Xenopus tropicalis: one gene and its partner. The protein of the gene in region 1 purifies or fractionates together with the protein of each later gene. This does not show direct contact. Links are inferred from orthologs where the notes say so. Each region holds a gene or a part of one and is shown on either strand. Other genes may lie near its edges.

Region 1 (4,329 bases):
ACAGGCCACCATTGAAGGGTATGGGGCCCTAAATGAGTAAGTTAACAGGGCTCACCCCTCTAGAGGGCTCTAATTATTAGCCAACCAGTCACCTGGGTCTCAATGGGAGAAGAAATTGGAGCAATCTTATAATTACTGTGGCTAAAGGTGGGAATAGTCAAAAATTAGCGTGGCGGTTAACTATGTCTCGGTTTTTTTATTTCCAGATGTTGGGAGGTATGGGTTTGTGATCTAAAAATCAGTGTAGATTTAATGGTGCATTTTTCTTTTTTTTATTATATGCAGCTTGTAAATTATCAAGCTTTTTATTCAGCTGCTCTTTAGTTTGGATTTTCAGCAGCTATCTGGTTGTTAGGGTCCAAATTACCCTAGCAACTAGGCCAGGGGTGGGCAAACTACGGCCCGCGGGCCACATCCGGCCCCGTGGCCTTTTTAATCCGGCCCGTCGACGATGCCAAGTCTCATCATGCGAGACTTGGTGTCATTGGCGGGCCGGAATTAAACAGACTAAGGGGGCGTAACGCTGGCCTGGCCCTGCCCGCCCTGGCCCGGGGGTAAGTAAATATGGCCCGTGAGCCAAAAAGTTTGCCCACCCCTGAACTAGGCAGTGGTATGAATAAGAGACAGGAATATGAAGTGGAACAGGAATATGAAACATATGAAATAGAAATATGAGGACTTAGAAAGATAAGTAATAAAAAATAACAATTGTTGCATTTAAAAGCTGGAAAGAGTCAGAGGAAGAAAGCAAATAATTCAAAAACTATAAAAAATATTAAATTTGAAGACCATTTGAAAAGTTTGAAATAACTGGCCATTCTATAACATACTAAAAGTTAACCTTAAGGTAAACTACTGCTTTTATTGTATAAAAATGATGAATGTACCAGTGAATTATACTCCTAGATATAGAAGGATTGTGCTTAAAAAAGTTGTGTTTCTGACTGATTTATTGAGAAATTCCCCCAAAACCCCACTAGTCCCGCCCATCTGTGCCACTTCCTGCTGGCTGAATTCTCTGGGTGAGCTGGGGAGCCGGCGGCTCTCAGTACACTGCATTGTAGGATAGGAACCAATCAGCAGCTAGGCTGACCTGATAGGGAACTGAAGCCTTTCTTTGCTTGCGTGAGTGCAGGGCTGTGATTGGCTCTCCCCCTCCTGCTGTGCTTCTGGCAGGGGCTGTTAGGACACGCCCACCCTTCATTTGAAACATGGACAGAGAACTGATAGGATCTATAGGGAGCTCCAATAAAGGGGCCATTTTTACAGAGAGGATTAATGTTTAGCCTAAAGTGAAAAAAGCACCTTATATTATTCATTATTGCCTACAAAATTAGAGGTTTTTTCCGTGTATCCTATATGTCTCCTTTAACAGCCATCAAGTTGCCTGCTATGCACACTTTAATATTTATACAGAATCCTTCAATCGGCATTATGGGCCTTCTTGGAAAATACCGTATTTTACCATCGATCCCGTAGGAGTGGATGATGAGACAATGCTATTCTTTCCTGGAAGGGCCATTACAACAACATCTGTGTTTGGAAAAGGAAAACTTTACCGTCACAATACTCAGCCATTTAATGGCATCTCCCACTGACCACCTGACAGGAAATAATGTAGGTTCTACCATAACAGGAAGTAGTGTGTTTGCTGTCCATTGACAACCTAGCGGTGTATGTGTGCCTGTGTTTGTGTGGGAGCACAGTTCCTTATATGAGCCAGAAGGAGGACTTTAGTTGGTAAAATGGGATTATTCCATAGTACATAATACTAGAAAAGTATATTTTTCATGCAAAGCCTTTCTTTATATGAAACATTGGATTACACATTGGCTGTTTTATGTGATATATTTTTACAGAAACCTGCATTGTACAGTTTCCCTTTACTCCCAAAAGGCCAGTGCTCATGTGTGATATAGTTCTATTATCATGGACTTCCTTAGAACCCTCACAGCACTCTCTGTTTTTCCAACCCCAGGCGAGCAACAACCTGGAATTATGTCAGCGCAACGCAGAGGAGGTGAAAGTCTTGATGAAAAAGAATGTTGACACGGTCATTGAGAGAGAAGGGAAGATCTCTGACCTAGAGGATCGATCCAATGATTTGCTTAACATGGTATGTCATGGGACAGGCCGTACGTACATGCAGTGGGCATACACACTTCTCTTTCCTGTGTGCAGCCTGCTGTGGCACACTTTTCATTCCCTTGCTTCACGTTTTGTATCCAGTTTCCCTCCCTTTGTATGCTGAGCGCCTTCCACACCCCTGTCATTATTCATACAGAACTGAGCTTGCTGCCACCCACCCCACTGTTAGTGTTTTGCTCCCCTAACATCAACATAGCTGGGCAGATGGGCATAACATTTGGAATTACAGTTCTCTGATGCCCAGCCATTACCTGCTTGCTTCAGAGCAGTGCAAAGCAGCCATGAAAGCACAGGTGGGAGCCAACTCGCAGCAGGAGTGCTTTGCTTGCAGGTGGAAAATAAACAAAAAATCTCATGTTAAACAACTCATGTAATAGATACACAATTTGAAGGAAACCAAATGTATTATGTATATTTATAATAGCTAAGGTTACTGTCTTGTCACTGTCTAGGACTGCCATGCAACTAGGGAAACAGGCCCATAGTGTCTTGTTCTGCCTTCAGTTCCCAGGCGTAACTCTGTGGCCCCAAAACTGTGTTCCTTTCATTTCCTGATGTGGATATAGTTCATCTGTCAGGTTCATTTCAGTTAAAAAGCCTATTCTGATTTGGCCAGTGCAAGCAGGTCTGGACTGGGGTTCCAAATAGACCCTGACGTTTCAAGTACACAGAGACCCAAACAGCCCCCCCCCAGCCCAATAAATAGTGACTGTCTATGGAATCTTACAGCAGCCCCTCTGGCATTTGCCTGAATCCACAGATTGTCAGTCCGGGCCTGAGTGCAAGGCTCTTCTATTGGAGACCCATTTGGTGTGCCCGGGAACTGGTATGATTAGTTTTGATTGAGCAATGTAGTACATTCCTTTGGCAGCAGGCCAGTCATACCCCCTTGAGAAACTGCAAGAGTGGGGGGAGACAGACGCTCCATGCAAGGAAAAAAGGAAAACATTGAGTAGGTGGGAGTGGGAAGGAAAGAACTTTATAACGTTGGTACAACGGGAGTGTGCATGTTGCAGACCTTTCATATTCCCACCTACCTTATTTAACATGCAAGATCAACACACAGCAGCGTGCATGTCTGCTTTCTGAATTTCACTAGAAAATGACCAGACTGTGGATGACAAGGATATAATATATCTGAATATTATAGAAATATTTAAAGTAGCAACTTTTTTTTTTGCACTTAGGCCTGCAACTTCCAGAAAACGGCCCAGACAGTGGAACGCCATACCCGGTGGCAGAAGTGGCGCTGGTACATCATTGCTGGAGGAATTGTAATTGTAATTGTGATCATCCTCATTGTCATTATTGTGTTGTTCACACTGCCAAACAATGAGACCCCTAATAATGCCAGTGGAGTGCATTAGATTAAAGGAAGGGTGTGCACAGGCCCAGACTGGCAATCTGTGGATTTTGGCGAATGCCAGATGGGGCTGCTGTAAGATGCCATAGACAGTCACTATTTATTGGGCTGGGGGGGGGGGGGGGCTTTTTGGGCCTCTGTGTACTTGAAATGCCTCGGCCTACTTTGAATCCCAATCCAGGCCTGGGTGTGCACCACTTACCATAAACTCTTGTAGGGTGATGGACTTTACTGCAAAGCTTCCCCTAAAGATCATAGCTCCTTGTAGCTTGTCTACCTGTACTTACCTGCAGGGTTGTACCCCATTGTTTTTTATTTGCAAAGAGTGTTGGATTACAGTCGTTTTTATTTTGCTGACGGTTGTGTTACAGTCCTTTCTGTTTATCTGCATAGAGACTTGCAGAGCACTGATTCTTTGTAACCCAAGAGCGGCACCGAGACCCTGTCTATGCCTCGAAGATGGAAATAATCCTTCCTTCACAAAAAGCACAATAAAATATAGTTAAACAAATCTATGCCCGCCTATTTCAGTGGGGAGAGGAAAGAGTTTAATGGCCTGGGGGGCAAAAGAACACCAGAGAGAGAATGGGAGCAAAGGTTCGTGGACTGGCAGGTATGCAAAAGAATGTTATTTATTAGGCAAACTATAACAGCAAGGCAGCAGCCCCATGGGAACCCGAGTGTCATAACAAAGATATTAAAATGGGAGATTTATGTAAATAGAAGCTGAGAAGAGGCAGTTGCAGTTATCACACATCCTGTTTTTGTAAGTTTCCTGCTTCTGGTCGCATAGTTCACCGTCTTTCACCTCTTGTTAT
Region 2 (4,349 bases), on another chromosome or scaffold:
TAAGTTTCTAGGCAGTTTTTACGGAAGTTACACAAATTGTGTACGCTTTGACGGAACTTCATACGTAATAAACAATTTTAATAACTTTGGCAACACTGCCAGGCCCACCATCAGAAGATTATTTCACCGAGCACTGCACAACAGTACCCCTCTCCCCCTGACGGTGGCTCTGAAAGAGAGGATGATAATGGGATGGGAAAGAGGAGAGCAGTTAAGGGGTCTTTTTTTAAAAATTCCTGGCGCACCTCTGCTAATTCAAACTACCGTATTTCTACCTCCCACACACACAATACTTTCTTAAAGATGATTCAAAATGCAGTGACGCAAAGATTTTTGCGTGGCACAATACTCATCACTTGCCTCTGTAAGAACAGTAATCCCTAACCAGTGGCTTGTGAGCAACATAGTGCTCGCTAACCCTAGATGTCTCTCCAGGGGGTCTTAAAGCAGGTGCTTGTTTTTTAATTTTTGGCTTGAAGGCAATTTTTAGTTGCATAAAAACCAGGTGTACTGCCAAACAGAGCCTCCTGTATGCTGCCAGTCCTCATAGGGGCTACCAAATAACCAATCACAGTTCTTATCTAGCAACCCCCAGAAACATCCATACATAAAACGCTGCTATCCACTGGCACTGATGGACTTACCAAACTGCCCTCCCTCAGCATTCAGAGTTCCCAAGAAGTCCAACAGATATTACACATCGCCATGTCCAGACTGGGAGTCAAAATAGGCCCTGGCATTTCAAGTACACAAGAGGTCCAAACAGCCCTCTACCAGCCCAATAAATATTAACTGTCTATAACATCTTACAGCAGCTCCTCTGGCATTTGCCAGAACCCATAGATTGCCAGTCCCAGCCTACACATCACTCATATATAATTCCTGTATATATCACCTTGCCCTTTAACAGCAGCCTTGAACATACATATCACACACTATGCTTCAACTGCTTACCTGTTGTACAGGTAAACAACATTTTACTAAAGATCACAATACTTGTCCCCCATGTGCACCCAGCATATTTCTCATCTCCCTCCATTAAATCCAAGTACTAGGGGTGTAGGGAAAAAAAAATAATTAGACCCAGCAATTGCTCCAGGACCTGGGATATTAAGTACCCCATCCTCCAAAGGCGCACTTGCTGATTTTTATAAACCAGCAGAATTCTACATTTGCATTCCTTGTTCTCTTTAAAGGAGTGGCAACAACAGCATCTTTTCCAAGCTGTCACGTGGTATCATGACTGGGAGGCGCTTATCGCTGATAGGAGCCTGACAATTCCTACGTGACATCACGGTCACATGGCTATGACATCACGACTTCCTTAGAGTCGCTTCATCCCACCATCTCTTATACTCAGAAAGGAGGACGGGGCCCTAAGAGGAGCAACATGTCTGGGTACATGAAGCAGCAGAGCCGTGCCCGGGACTTCAACAGCATTATTCAGACCTGCAGCGGCAATGTGCAGAGGATCACAAATAACAGTCAGTATCCCCAGTTTTTCTACAGAGCACCGGTCCTATTCCTGTATATATATCCGTGATCGCAGCGAGCTGCACACACCCGCAGTATATAGATGGGGGTACTGGTGGAGATTTGAAGGACGAATTGTTAGCCATTGGCAATGGGAACTTTTGGACAACAGAGATTAACATGTTATATGGGCCCCTTGTATTATGTGTAATTCCCAGGTGCTACACACCCACTGATGTACAGGAAGGGCGGCTATACTGACACAGCTGGAAATAGAGAAAATTATTTATATAGCATTGCATATATGGAGACTGGACAGTTGGCAAATGACAAAAATCAACTAATGTTTCCTTGTGTTGGTTGGTGGGTGGGTGTACAGTACAGCAGCTATCAGCTGGCATGTTCATTGGCAGAGGGGCACAGAGAAGCAGGGGTGACAGGCAGGAAGGGAGCTAAGTGCAGTGGGAAGTCATTTCCTACTGGAGATTCCTGATTGGGTTACTGTTACCAAGAAGTTACTACTGTTAGGCTTGTCACCTGGTTGGGCTCTTGCTGTGGTTAAACTACACATTACAATATTATCCTAAAGGCAGCATTTGTAGAAATGTAGTTCAGCAACCAGTGAAATCAGGCTGAGCAGTTTTACCCTCGCTTACTGAATTTGTGTTGAGTGGGTTACATTCCTGCCTTACTCCATGGGGGTTTTTTGTTCCCCCCTAACTGCCTGATCACTGCTTTGCAAGCTCAGAGAAAATTTTGGGCGTGGGCACAAGCAGGATTCACCAGGTCAGGCAGGGGCCATGAAATTGTAATATTTCCTTCCTCCCAGCATGACAGCAGGATAGGAGTTCATAATGTGTGATTTATCATGTTGAATGAATGAGACTTGGCAGGAAATATGTATTTTCTTGTATATCATTATGTATTAGATTCACAGTATTGACTTCTGCCAATCATTACATACCCCCAGAAGTAAGTAAATAAATAAATATGGAGTCTTGGTACTACTGGCCTCTGTTCTTCAAGTCTATGTGTAGTTTCATTCTTAAACAAGTGTTCAGCTCTTAATTAAAGGATGCCATGGAATAGTAGTAAATACGTCATAAGAGCAATTTGTCACTCCCTCTATTTGGACTAGACATAAGACATTTACTATCCAAACATACCCATTCCTTAACCATCTTAAAGGGGCATCTTTAACAAAATTACACTTTGCCTGTTGGTCATGTTAGGTTTAGTAAAGTAAAGGAATTTGGGGGGAAAATACCTTACATTTTTACTTGTTAAAAATCCTATGTTTCCGCTTCCATTTGAAAGTGAAATCACATGATTAATGTCCTTAGTCTAAGAAGGCAGCAGTCAGTCCTGTCTTGCTTTATAGCTGAGAATCTAGTTATCTTTATAACAGAACATTCATTGTACTGTGATTCAAGCAGGCTTGGACTGACATGGTATTTTTTTTTAAAAAGGTTTTTTTGAGATGATAGTATCTTAATTATATTCAGTATTTTTAATGAGAAGTGGTAAATGTGCACTCCATGTGAGAGCCTCTAATTAAAAGTGGATATAGCAAGGACGTAATTCATGTAATGAGATTTTTTGTTCATTGTTCACTATGCTGCTGTTTTTCTTTTTGTAATTATAGACTAGCACAGTGCAGTGTTTACAGGAAAATTGCTGCTGTCCTACAAATGACTGTTATTGTATGTTTTGGAATGGCCCAGTTATTCTGCACTGATAACAGCACACTGCTGAGATCTGATAACTGTGTTTTCAGCTTCTCGGTATGCTGTCAAGGTGTGTTGTTGTGTCATACTGATATAAGGTGCACTGTTGTCATGAAGTGCGGTACAGGTTGAAGTTACATAGTCTTTTTCAGATAGGTAATGTTTTATTGGGCATGTTCAGCAAATATAATTTATACAGAGACTTTACAGGTTTTCACAGGAATTTGTTGGTGAAAAAGGTTCCTTCCATAACCTAAAGCTTTAACACTGAAGCCTGGCATCCCCCTACCCCCTTTACTTACCTGTGGCACTTGTCTAGTCAAGGTTGATTTAAACAGTACTTCCAGCCTTGTCGGGTCAGTACCACACCCAAAGCCCAACATCTTCAAAACAGCAGCCATTTCTAAAAAAGAAGTTGAAGTCTGGTACAGGTAAATAAAGAAGGTGCAATATTTTAGTTGTAACTCATTAGAGATGGCCTAGAAAAGGAATATCAATAATAAATATAAATTTCTATTAAAAAAAAAAAAAAACACAGGTACAGGTATGCGACCTATTATCCAGAATGCTAGGGACCTGAGATTTTATGGATAAGGGATCTTTCTGTAATTTGGATCTCCATAGCTTAAGTCTACTAAAAGATTATTTAAAAATTAACCTCAATAAGCTTGTTTTGCTACCAATAAGGATTAATTTTATCTTAGTTGGAATCAAGTTCAAGTAACTGTTCTGTTATTACAGAGAAAAAGGACATTTAAAAAAAATATTAGAATTATAGGCTTATAATGGAGTCAGTGGGAGTCGGAACTTCCTGGATAAGGGGTTTCCTGATAACAGATCCCATACCTGTACAGGTTTGGGATCAGTTATCTGGAAGACTTCAGACCTGGGGTTTTCCGGATAAGAAGTCTTCCCATGATACTGATCTCAGTACCTTTTTTAAATTTGTTAAAAGGAAAAAAATAATCTGCTACCAACATGGATTTTACTAATTTAGTTACCATGCAAGTACAAGGTACTGTTTTCTTATTACAGGCAGTATGGCCACTTATGACCCACCCCCATTCTGGTCGAATCATTGGAATACACAAGTACAGGTGATTTTCACAAAGACCACCCTTGAAAATATGCACAAGGATTTCAGATGAG

Evidence for each region.
Region 2: the proteins of vesicle-associated membrane protein 5-like (region 1) and stx12 purify together in Homo sapiens (affinity purification with mass spectrometry; 3 studies listed by BioGRID and IntAct, with this or other methods). This does not show direct contact. The link is inferred for Xenopus tropicalis from reciprocal best matches to the Homo sapiens genes VAMP5 and STX12.

What each region holds. Positions count from the first base shown.
Region 1 is NC_030679.2:125,676,283-125,680,611, forward strand, and holds vesicle-associated membrane protein 5-like, read left to right. Parts: upstream 1-1,334; 5' UTR 1,335-1,485; coding exon 1,486-1,617; intron 1,618-1,978; coding exon 1,979-2,116; intron 2,117-3,335; coding exon 3,336-3,515; 3' UTR 3,516-4,026; downstream 4,027-4,329. UniProt on the Homo sapiens protein: May participate in trafficking events that are associated with myogenesis, such as myoblast fusion and/or GLUT4 trafficking.
Region 2 is NC_030678.2:83,638,874-83,643,222, reverse strand, and holds the start of stx12 (syntaxin-12), read left to right. Parts: upstream 1-1,369; 5' UTR 1,370-1,390; coding exon 1,391-1,484; intron 1,485-4,349. UniProt on the Homo sapiens protein: SNARE promoting fusion of transport vesicles with target membranes. Together with SNARE STX6, promotes movement of vesicles from endosomes to the cell membrane, and may therefore function in the endocytic recycling pathway.